3 linked regions of the Mus musculus genome follow. The protein of the gene in region 1 interacts with the protein of each later gene in a pairwise test. Links are inferred from orthologs where the notes say so. Each region holds a gene or a part of one and is shown in the gene's direction. Other genes may lie near its edges.

Region 1 (3,651 bases):
GTAGCCTTCTTGTCCACTTGAAATATATCTTTTATTATATCTTTCTAGTGTCAGAATCTCCATGACTCAGAACACTTAACATGGCTCATTGTGAATCACATTCAAGATCTGATCAGCTTGTCTCATGAGCCTCCAGTACAAGACTTTATTAGTGCCATTCATCGTAATTCTGCAGCTAGTGGTCTTTTTATCCAGGCAATTCAGTCTCGCTGTGAAAATCTTTCAACGGTAAGTCTTTAGCCTGCCAGTTTGCTTTCTCCAACTTAAAAATGGGATACTGGGATTTTGTCAGTACTAGTTATCAGTCTGAGGAATAATAAATTTCGTTCCTTCTCAACATTAGCCAACCACTCTGAAGAAAACACTTCAGTGCTTGGAAGGCATCCATCTCAGCCAGTCTGGTGCTGTGCTCACACTATATGTGGACAGGCTCCTGGGCACCCCCTTCCGTGCGCTGGCTCGCATGGTCGACACCCTGGCCTGTCGCCGGGTAGAAATGCTTTTGGCTGCAAATTTACAGGTACTGAAAATGGTAATTTATATCAAAACTTAGAAAGTCAATCAAAACATTTGGTCTATTGACCTGGTCTTGATTGGCCACTGATAAAGAGCATGTATGTCATATTTGTTATTTGTGTATCTGACCAACGGCTCTTTTTAGATATACTGTGTATAGTAATTTATCCTTTTTAAGTGGGTGTGAGGTTGTATATCACAAAAGCCCTGATGTGTTCTTGTCTGTGTAGAGCAGCATGGCCCAGTTGCCAGAGGAGGAACTAAACAGAATCCAAGAACACCTCCAGAACAGTGGGCTTGCACAAAGGTAAGACTGCAGCGTGGGGTCCTGGCACTTGGGCAACCAGCGTATTAACACATAGATATGTTCAGGAACAAATAGGTAGACAAAGGAATTAGTGTACAGTGAGTTTACTACAGCAATGCCAGAGTAGAAAAGACTATCTAAATATCAGATGAAATTTAGTCATGTCTCACTTTAGTAGACATGAAGAAGTGGCACTCAAATACCTGTTGCACAGAGAAGGGACTCCTGAACTTTGTGACTGTTGAAGGGATAAGAAGTATGTTTGTTACCTCTGCTACTGGACCCTGACTGAGTGGGAATAAAGCTAGAACCTAATTGCCAGGTTGGAGGGAGTAAACATGAGAGCACTACCTGGCTCTTGGCATGTGCACATTATGTTAAGTGACATCTCTTCATAGCTATTCTTTTGCCTAATTGTTTGAAAGTCTTTTAGAAGCCTTTATTAGAAACATTTCCATCTGTAGTGTAAGTGTAGTTCCTTGACTACAAGATAAATTAAGAAAAGCTTTCACCTCTTTTCCATTGCTGAAGGGGGAAGGGAGCATTCGAGAGGGTCTCTCATAACTTTAATCTTCAGAGGATTTTTCATGGTGTTTCATAATGGGACAGGGCATGGTCTGGATGATTTTTCTCAATCTGCAGAGCCACATGATGCTGACATTTGATCATTTGACATATGAAGTATCACATTGACTCTGTATAGTAAGAGAATAAATTATCATTGTGTTTGACAGTAGTTGTAGTCATAGACCAAGATAAGGAAGATTATGACTTCATAAATAATTTAGGCCAGATGAAATGGTTTTCTGTGAAATGACCATTTCTAATGGAATGAATTGTGTCATTATTGGGGATTAAATGGAGTTTGTGCACTTGGATCTTAAAATTTATCTGTTTTGCACACATTACAAATACGATGGCTAGGATTATGTAATTCAGTGGTAAAGCACTTGTCTAGTGTGCACAAGTCCCTAGGTTCAATCTCTAATATTGCCAAGAAAAGAAAGAGTAGAATAGAATAGCTTTGTTAGCGGTTATATAGTTCATTGCCTAATGGAATGTTGAGCATAAATGAAACTTCTGGAAAATATCAGTGAGGTATAAATTTTGGTAATTTAAAGTAACTAGGGCGTAAATGTGCATCATGACTTTAGAATGTTGAAGGGAAAGTCCAAAACCTGTTGCCCTGTCTTAAGAAGCTCCTAGTGCTCCTTGGTATTACATGTTTCTAGAACTCATCTGTGCAAAAACTGAGATTTCAAACCAAAGAACAAACTACTCTGGCTTTTTTATTCCAGACACCAAAGGCTCTATTCACTGCTGGACAGATTCCGACTCTCTACTGTGCAGGACTCACTTAGCCCCTTGCCCCCAGTCACTTCCCACCCACTGGATGGGGATGGGCACACATCTCTGGAAACAGTGAGTCCAGACAAAGTAAGTGTCCCGAATGTCTAAGTGTGATGACCAGGAACCCTGTGGAGACAATGACAGCCTCTGTCTACAATGAGGATAGTGGTGGCTGTCAGTATACATGGGACCTGACACTCAGCTCAGGTCATTAGATGCCCTGCTTGGGATTAGAGTGCAGGATGGAGGCCAAGAGGTCCTACTGAGAACAGGAGTGCTGATGTGAGGCTTTTGTGGAGGACTGTGGGGGCAAGTCAGGTGGCTAGTCAGCAAGTCAGGAAAAGTTGGTTGTGGTCCAGGACCTATGACTGCAGACATTGTCCAGCACATGCTGACAAAACTTGGCCTGCCTCCCCCTCTGAACCTTCTATCTCCTATAAATTGATGCACCTACTGCCACCAGCTATATAATGTATTGTCATCTGTACCCTTTCTCATTCACACTTGAGAATTAGAAACTGTTAGGGCCTTTGCCTTTTAGGCAAGGAGATGAGATTTTAGAAGCCTGCAGCCCATGACAGAAAACACACATTTGCCCCAGGCTCACTCTCCAGCTTTGTGGGAGGCATTTCTTTGGCTTTGGCTGCTGGGAAAGATGAGGGAGGCAGATACTCCAGTATAGTATAGATGGTGCATCATCTAGAGTGCAGGTAGAGCAAAAATTGTGAACACTGAGAACTTGGCTGAGTTTGCAAGGACTGCTGGAAGGTCCACAGGTGGAAAAGAAGAGGGCATTCAAGCACAGAACAAGAGAGGGAAGACTAGCTGTCTAGAGAGTGTAAGCCCAAGATGTGTCTGATGTCTGTACAGCCAGCCGTCGGTGCTTCTATCACAGCCCAGAGAAGCCGAAGTGCCTACCCAGTCCCATTCAATTTTCTTTTCTTCTCAGGACTGGTACCTCCAGCTTGTCAGATCCCAGTGTTGGACCAGATCAGATTCTGCACTGCTGGAAGGTGCAGAGCTGGTCAACCGTATCCCTGCTGAAGATATGAATGACTTCATGATGAGCTCGGTAGGCAATAATCCGTTGAGTCCAGGAAATCCTCAGCTCTGCTTGTCAGAAAGTTAGATTTGTGTCTTAGTTAGGGTTTCTGTTGCTATGATATAACACTATGACCAAAAAGCAAGTTGGGGAAGAAAGAGCTTATTTGGCTTAACACCATCATTGAAGAAAGTCAGGATAGGAACTTAACAGGGCCAGAACCTGGAGTCAGGAGCTGATGCAGAGGCCATAGAGGAGTACTGCTTACTTGCTTGTTCTCCATAGTTGGTCAGCCTACTTTCTTACAGAACCCACGACCACCAACCCAGGGATGACACCACTCACTATGGGCTGGGTCCTCTGCCATCTACCACTAATTAAGAAAACACCCACAGGCTTTTGATGACATTTTTTTTCTTGTTTGTTTGTTTTGAGA
Region 2 (3,554 bases), on another chromosome or scaffold:
TACTGTTTCTTCCTTTAGCCCCTTTTCATGATTGGGCTCGTTTCCCTTTGCTCTCTTCCCAGGCTTCTGAGATTAGACCCTGGTATGAGCCCGTCCTGTCCTCAAAAGTCCAGTTGGGCCTTGCATGCCCCAACTGTTCTGCGTAAGACTGACTGTCTGTTTCTGGGTCCTGAGTTCTTGCTCTCCCTAACTCTCGGGCCTTTTGATTCCAAAAGAGCAACCTGCAAGGAGGCTTCTGGACCAAACTCCAGGAAGGAGCCCAGCAATTCTCCAAGCGCCATCATGCGTGTCTGTTTCTAGAAAGACAGGTTCACTGACACAGACCCAGACAGACAGGCTGACCAGAACTCCAAAGTCCTGTCTGGGCCTCCACATGTCACCTTCCAGAGCACCCGAGGGAGGTGCACACACGGTAACCCAAGGCTCTCTGCCCACTCCAAGCCCTCAAAGGGCTTCACGACCTCCTGGGTTACAGAAAACAGAAAAACAAGCAAACAATCTTAGTTCCTATGGTGAACCTAAAACCCTATACTTCTGGGCATCCCTTCCATTCCCTCAAGGAGATCTCTAGAATCTTTGGAATACCAGACTTCCTCATGACGTGACATATCCCTTCATTGTGTGCAATTGGACATATGGAGGTTCCCTTTGCATTTACAGACATTACCCCACACTCAGCCCATCCCCAGATCCATGTTCTCAGGCCCCAAAATTCTCTTTTGTGAGACACCCAGAAAAGGACCTCGAAGTCATCCCCTCCCCAGGGTCTCAGTGACCCGGAGCCCAGAACCCTGCGACCCCTCCAGGTTGCGCCTCCGGATCCGGACCACCGCCCCTCCCCCAAGCCTCCATTTCACAAGGCCTCGCGCTCCAGTCCCGTGACTTCATCTCATGGGACTGGGTGGGTGGGGAGCGAGGTTCCCCTCAGCTCCGGATTGGTCAAGTATACTTTTCCGTCTCCGCCTCACGCCACCGCCGATTGGTTAGTCTCGGGCCTGGGGCACCCCTCCCTCCGGAGGGTCAACATGCTATAAAAGGAGCGCTCCTTGCCCGGGACTTAGAGCAGCGCCTTGGAGGTCCCGTGGATCTGTGTCTTGCTTCAACAGTGTTTGAACGGAACAGACCCGGGGATTCCCACTGTACTCGCTTCCAGCCGCCTTTACAAGTCTCTCCAGTCGCAGCCTCCGGGACCATCTCCTCGCTGCCTTCAGCTCCTAGGACCAGTCTGCACCGTCTCTTCGCGGTTAGCTCCTACTCCGGATCAGCCATGACCTCTCAGATTCGTCAGAATTATTCCACCGAGGTGGAAGCTGCCGTGAACCGCCTGGTCAACTTGCACCTGCGGGCCTCCTACACCTACCTCTCTCTGGTGAGCAGCTCGGGGTTGCCTTCTGAACGGGGGGGGGGGGGGGGGGTCCATCACACCCACCCTCCTGCGCATGCGCGGGCCTTCTTTGTTCCATGCAGGGCAGAGACTGTGCTCCGACCTCTCCCTCTCCCTGCGCGCTGTGTACATAGTAGTTTTGTCTGACTGGAACTCGCTGGGCAGACCGGGCTGCCCTCGAAATCTCACACGTACTGCCTCTACCTCTTGAGTGTTGCGATTGAAGTTTACAGTGTGAGCCGAGCCACCGCGTTCCGTTAACTCGTATTTGTAACCTCCCGCAGGGCTTCTTTTTTGATCGGGATGACGTGGCTCTGGAGGGCGTAGGCCACTTCTTCCGCGAATTGGCCGAGGAGAAGCGCGAGGGCGCGGAGCGTCTCCTCGAGTTTCAGAACGATCGCGGGGGCCGTGCACTCTTCCAGGATGTGCAGGTAAGAAGCGGGGGTATTGGGCACTACCGAGCATGTGCGTTTACTTGCCATCCCCATAGTTTGGGCATCCGGATAGACGTCTTGGAAGGGAGTGGTGGCAGGACTAGTGTAGACAATAGGAGTATGTAGAGCAACTAAACCCACCAGGATGTCAGAAACTGGAAAATGGGGGTAATTACAGAATACAGATGAGGACTGCTGGGCTGGGGAGAGGCGGTGTCTCTCTAGCTAGCATGGAAATCACAATGTAGACCAGGTTGCCTCCTATCAAGAGATCCTCCTGTCTTCTCGCCCAGTCTCTCAGTGGTGGGATTAAAGACAGTATCCCATTATTTTTCCCCACTGTGCCCACTTTTCCTGTGCAGTCAGTTTTATATTGGCTGGGTGAAGGATGTAATCTAGGCTTGATATTCTTGTGTGCAGAAGCCATCTCAAGATGAATGGGGTAAAACCCAGGAGGCCATGGAAGCTGCCTTGGCCATGGAGAAGAACCTGAATCAGGCCCTCTTGGATCTGCATGCCCTGGGTTCTGCCCGCGCGGACCCTCATGTAAGTACCTTGCTAATCATTTCTTCCCTTCTCTGACAAAACCTAGACTGTTGTGTGTTGGCTTTCAGCTCCCAATAATTTAATCCTCCTGCCTCCCGAGTGCAGATTGCAGAAGCACCACACACAGTACTGAGGACACACCTACCTACCTACCTACCTGCCCTTGAGGGCAGGATTTTTTTTTTTTAAAGCTTCCTGCTCACACCTGTCTCTTAGAACTCGGTGTCTGATGTCTCTTCCTTCCTTTACAGCTCTGTGACTTCCTGGAAAGCCACTATCTGGATAAGGAGGTGAAACTCATCAAGAAGATGGGCAACCATCTGACCAACCTCCGCAGGGTGGCGGGGCCACAACCAGCGCAGACTGGCGCGCCCCAGGGGTCTCTGGGCGAGTATCTCTTTGAGCGCCTCACTCTCAAGCACGACTAGGAGGCCTCTGTACCTTCCAAGGGGCTCCCCCCTCTGCTCTGCACCAGCCCGCCCTGGGACCTCCACCTGAATGAACCTCTCAAGCCACTAGGCAGCTTTGTAACCGCCCTGGAGCCTCTGTCAAGTCTTGGACCAAGTAAAAATAAAGCTTTTTGAGACAGCAGCTGGTGTTTTTTCTATATATGTGGGAGGGGTGCACGAGAAAGAAGAGGTTGGCTGTATGTACTCCTGTTTTTTGTGGGAACCCACATGTGATAACTTACAGCGATCTCTGTGTGGTAGTATCTGCCTTTTCATGTGGCAAATCCAGGTCGTAGGAGTCTGTAGCCTGTAGCAGTTTGCCAGTCCTTGGTTTATGTTACTGTGCAGGGAAGTGAAAAGGCTTAAACATCCAAGTTCAGAAATGAGTTAAACATACAAGTAGAAGGCCAGGAGGTGAGCAAGCTGAGCCCTGGGTGCTGGCTGAGCGAGGGTGGGGAGCCAGGGTGTCTTGCTGGATTCCGAACTAGATGCTGGGCCCATCAAAAAGAGGATGTGAAACTTGGGACCATTGCCCAAATGGGAACTAAACCATTGCAAAGGGGTTAGAAACATGGGAAGTTGGTGGGGTGGGGGGTGGAACACCGGACAATACTGCTGTGTCAGCTCACACTGGTTAAAACAAGTCCAAGGGTCGTATGAAGCCACATGATAGGCCCTTGGCTCAGTATTATGCCATGGCTCTGGGGAAGCAGTCATGTGGACAGGAAGATGACCCAGCAC
Region 3 (3,250 bases), on another chromosome or scaffold:
CCTATGGCCACTGCATGCATGTGATATACACACTGCATGCATGTGGCACACACATTGCATGCATGTGGTACACACACTTCATGCATGTGGTATACACACTGCATACATGCAGATACATAAAGTAAATAAAACAGCCTGGCCATGGCTTTCTCCGAGGTTGCTTTTTTTTTTCTCACTTCCATCCTGTCTTACGGACTCCTCCATCAGACGACAGTGAAGGAGTCAGCCACCGAGGAGAAGCTCACCCCTGTGGTGCTGGCTAAGCAGCTGGCTGCCCTGAAGCAGCAGCTGGTGGCTTCCCACCTGGAGAAGCTTCTGGGACCAGATGCTGCAATCAACCTTGCCGACCCAGACGGAGCCCTAGCTAAGTGAGTGCCCTCAGCCGCGGCAGAGCCACTGCTGAGTGGGACTGTGCAGGACAGGAGGGAGATGGTTAGCCATTCTCTAATGAGAATTATGAGGCAGAAGATTCAAATAGCCCTCATCTTTTGGGTCTGGATATTATCACTTGTTCTTGTGCCCCAGGCGCTTACTGCTGCAGCTGGAAGCAACTAAGAGCAGCAAAGGCAGTTCAGGGGGTAAGGCTACAGCTGGGGCCCCCCCAGACAGCAGCCTGGTCACCTATGAACTCCACTCACGGCCTGAGCAGGACAAGTTCTCTCAAGCTGCCAAAGTAAGTATGAGTGTAGCATAGGTTGGGAGCTAGGGAAAAGTCAGGTAGTGTAGGCTGGGAGCCAGGGAGGGAGGTGCGAGTGGCCTTTGCAGGGCCAGGCCTAGGAGGGAAAGCTTTTGAGTCCTGGGAGAGCTTCGGACTCCTCCTGAAGTCTTACTCGCTGTATTTCCTTGCATTTCTGGTTTTTGAGGTAGGGTCTCAACACTAGCTTTAAACTCAAGGATGTGGCTTAGGCTGGCTCTGAACTCCAGATCCTCCTGCCTCTGTACCTCCCAAGCTGTCCATCTACTTTAAACTTAAGTTTAAGATTGTAGCTAGGGATGTGGTCCAAGAAGGGAGCCCTTGCAGGGGTTGGAGGGTGACAAAGAATCGCCTCCTCCTCTTGCCCCTCCTCCTCCCCCATAGGTTGCAGAACTCGAGAAGCGTCTGACAGAGCTGGAGGCCACTGTCCGATGTGACCAGGATGCTCAGGTCAGGTGCTCTCCTGTACTAAGTCTACAGTACTCAGAGCCCTGAGTAATGATCCCGTAGTTCACAGTGTTCCCACAATCTGGAAGCTAGGGGGTTACAGCTAGAACCAGGAGTCATCCTATGGCTGTATGAAGACTCCTGACTTCTTCCCTCCATTTCCCACCAGAATCCCCTTTCTGCAGGTCTACAGGGAGCCTGCCTTATGGTGAGTCTGGAAGGAGCTGGCATGTGGATTACAGGGGTCAATGGGAATGTCTTAATTATGATAATGAGTGGGTTTATAGCCCTAGATTAATTCCAGTGAAATGTTGCAGACCTTTTTTATAATTTGATTCTTCTCCTGGTGACACTTGTCCAAACCCTTCCTTGACTAGGAAACGGTAGAACTGTTGCAAGCCAAAGTGAGTGCCCTGGACCTTGCAGTTCTGGACCAAGTAGAGGCTCGGCTTCAGGTATTAAGTAGAAAGCTAGTTGGATTCCAAGTAGCTTGGGACTTTAGAAGCCCAGGTCTGGGAGCCCTGTCACCCTTAACCCCTGTGCTTTCAGAGTGTCCTGGGAAAGGTGAATGAGATTGCTAAGCACAAGGCATCCGTGGAGGACGCAGACACTCAGAACAAGGTCAGGAGCTGTCTTCTCCATCTCTGTACCTGCCGTGCTCCCCCAGGCTCCTCCCCTGAGTGGTAACATCCAAATGTAGGGGCTTTGCAGCCTTGGGTCTTAACCAGCTGAGAGTGAAGGGAGCGCCTTCCCTCTGCCAGCTGTGGTGTTAGCATCCCCTCGGCCCTGCCCACTTTACCAGGTGCACCAGCTCTATGAGACCATCCAGCGCTGGAGCCCAGTCGCCTCCACCCTCCCTGAACTGGTACAGCGACTTGTCACCATCAAGCAGCTGCATGAGCAAGGTGTGCGGCAGGCAGAGCCCTGGGCTGAGGGAGGGCCTGTGGTCCCCTCTCATCATGGATTCTGTTCTTAGCCATGCTCTCTTCACTTCTGCAGCTATGCAGTTTGGTCAGCTCCTGACACACTTGGATACCACCCAGCAGATGATGGCCAGTTCCCTTAAGGATAATACTGCTCTCCTGACCCAGGTGTGGGGGTCTTTTTATTTTGTTGCCACTTTTTGCCAGGGCAGGGCAGGGCACCTGAGGTTCTCCAGCCCTACCTCAGAGGGTTTTGTCTTAGGGCTTTGAATGTCAATTCTGTTTTCATAGTTGTAGGACCTTTGTGCCCAGCCTGGTTAACCTCTTTCTAACTGTGGCTTTTTTGTTTGCTTGCTTGCTTGCTTGCTTGCTTGCTTGCTTGCTTTTGGGAGAAACTGGGAGTGTTGGGTAGAATCACAGTGTGTTGGACTGACCCTGAAGCTTGTTTTGTAGACCAGGCTGGCTCACATTTGTGGCCATCCTTCTCCTCCCTCTGGAGTGCTGGGATTACAGGAATGTGCTACCATGCTTGAATCCCCTTCCCCCCACCCCCAACCCCCCCACCCCGAAACAGGCCTTGCTATATATGCCTAATTGACCTGGTATTCATGTAGCTCAAGTGGAGCTCAGACACACAACAAAACAAACCCTGCTGCTTTAGGCTGGGATTAGGCCTGAGCATGTCTTGTCTCTACTTTCTTATTAAAATATTTTAGTGTGAGTGTGTGTATAAGAGAGTGTGTGAGTAGGAGTGTGTTCGTGTGTGTGTGTATGTGCGCTTGTGAATGTGTGTTTGTGAATATCAGAAGCATCAGATACTATTGGAGCTTGACTTTAGGCAGTTGTTAGCTGGAAACTGAGCTTGAGTCTTCTCCAAGAGTGGTATATGCTCTGAACCCTTGAGATATTTCTTGAGCCCTTCTTTTTGAGACATGGTCTCTTACAGAAATTTCAGGAACTCATTGTAAAGTATTCTAGATCCCCTTGCACGCGCGCGCGCACACACACACACACACACACACATCACACACATATACACGGGAGCATTGGAGTTACAGACAAGTACCATTAAGCCCGCTCTTCTATTTATTTTTATGTGTATAGGTAGGTGTTTTGTCTGCCTGCATGTCTCTGCACCATACATGTGTCAAGTGCCCACAGTAGCCAGAAGAGAGTGTCAGAATCC

Evidence for each region.
Region 2: the proteins of Htt (region 1) and Ftl1 interact in binary tests that used the Homo sapiens proteins (3 or more experiments, as listed by UniProt). The link is inferred for Mus musculus from reciprocal best matches to the Homo sapiens genes HTT and FTL.
Region 3: the proteins of Htt (region 1) and Dctn2 interact in binary tests that used the Homo sapiens proteins (3 or more experiments, as listed by UniProt). The link is inferred for Mus musculus from reciprocal best matches to the Homo sapiens genes HTT and DCTN2.

What each region holds. Positions count from the first base shown.
Region 1 is NC_000071.6:34,876,682-34,880,332, forward strand, and holds part of Htt (huntingtin), read left to right. Parts: intron 1-48; coding exon 49-228; intron 229-343; coding exon 344-520; intron 521-746; coding exon 747-823; intron 824-2,121; coding exon 2,122-2,260; intron 2,261-3,122; coding exon 3,123-3,245; intron 3,246-3,651.
Region 2 is NC_000073.6:45,457,345-45,460,898, reverse strand, and holds Ftl1 (ferritin light chain 1), read left to right. Parts: upstream 1-1,012; 5' UTR 1,013-1,267; coding exon 1,268-1,369; intron 1,370-1,668; coding exon 1,669-1,815; intron 1,816-2,238; coding exon 2,239-2,364; intron 2,365-2,615; coding exon 2,616-2,792; 3' UTR 2,793-2,955; downstream 2,956-3,554.
Region 3 is NC_000076.6:127,276,177-127,279,426, forward strand, and holds part of Dctn2 (dynactin subunit 2), read left to right. Parts: intron 1-207; coding exon 208-368; intron 369-525; coding exon 526-673; intron 674-1,078; coding exon 1,079-1,144; intron 1,145-1,310; coding exon 1,311-1,349; intron 1,350-1,518; coding exon 1,519-1,596; intron 1,597-1,690; coding exon 1,691-1,762; intron 1,763-1,943; coding exon 1,944-2,046; intron 2,047-2,140; coding exon 2,141-2,232; intron 2,233-3,250. UniProt on the Homo sapiens protein: Part of the dynactin complex that activates the molecular motor dynein for ultra-processive transport along microtubules. In the dynactin soulder domain, binds the ACTR1A filament and acts as a molecular ruler to determine the length.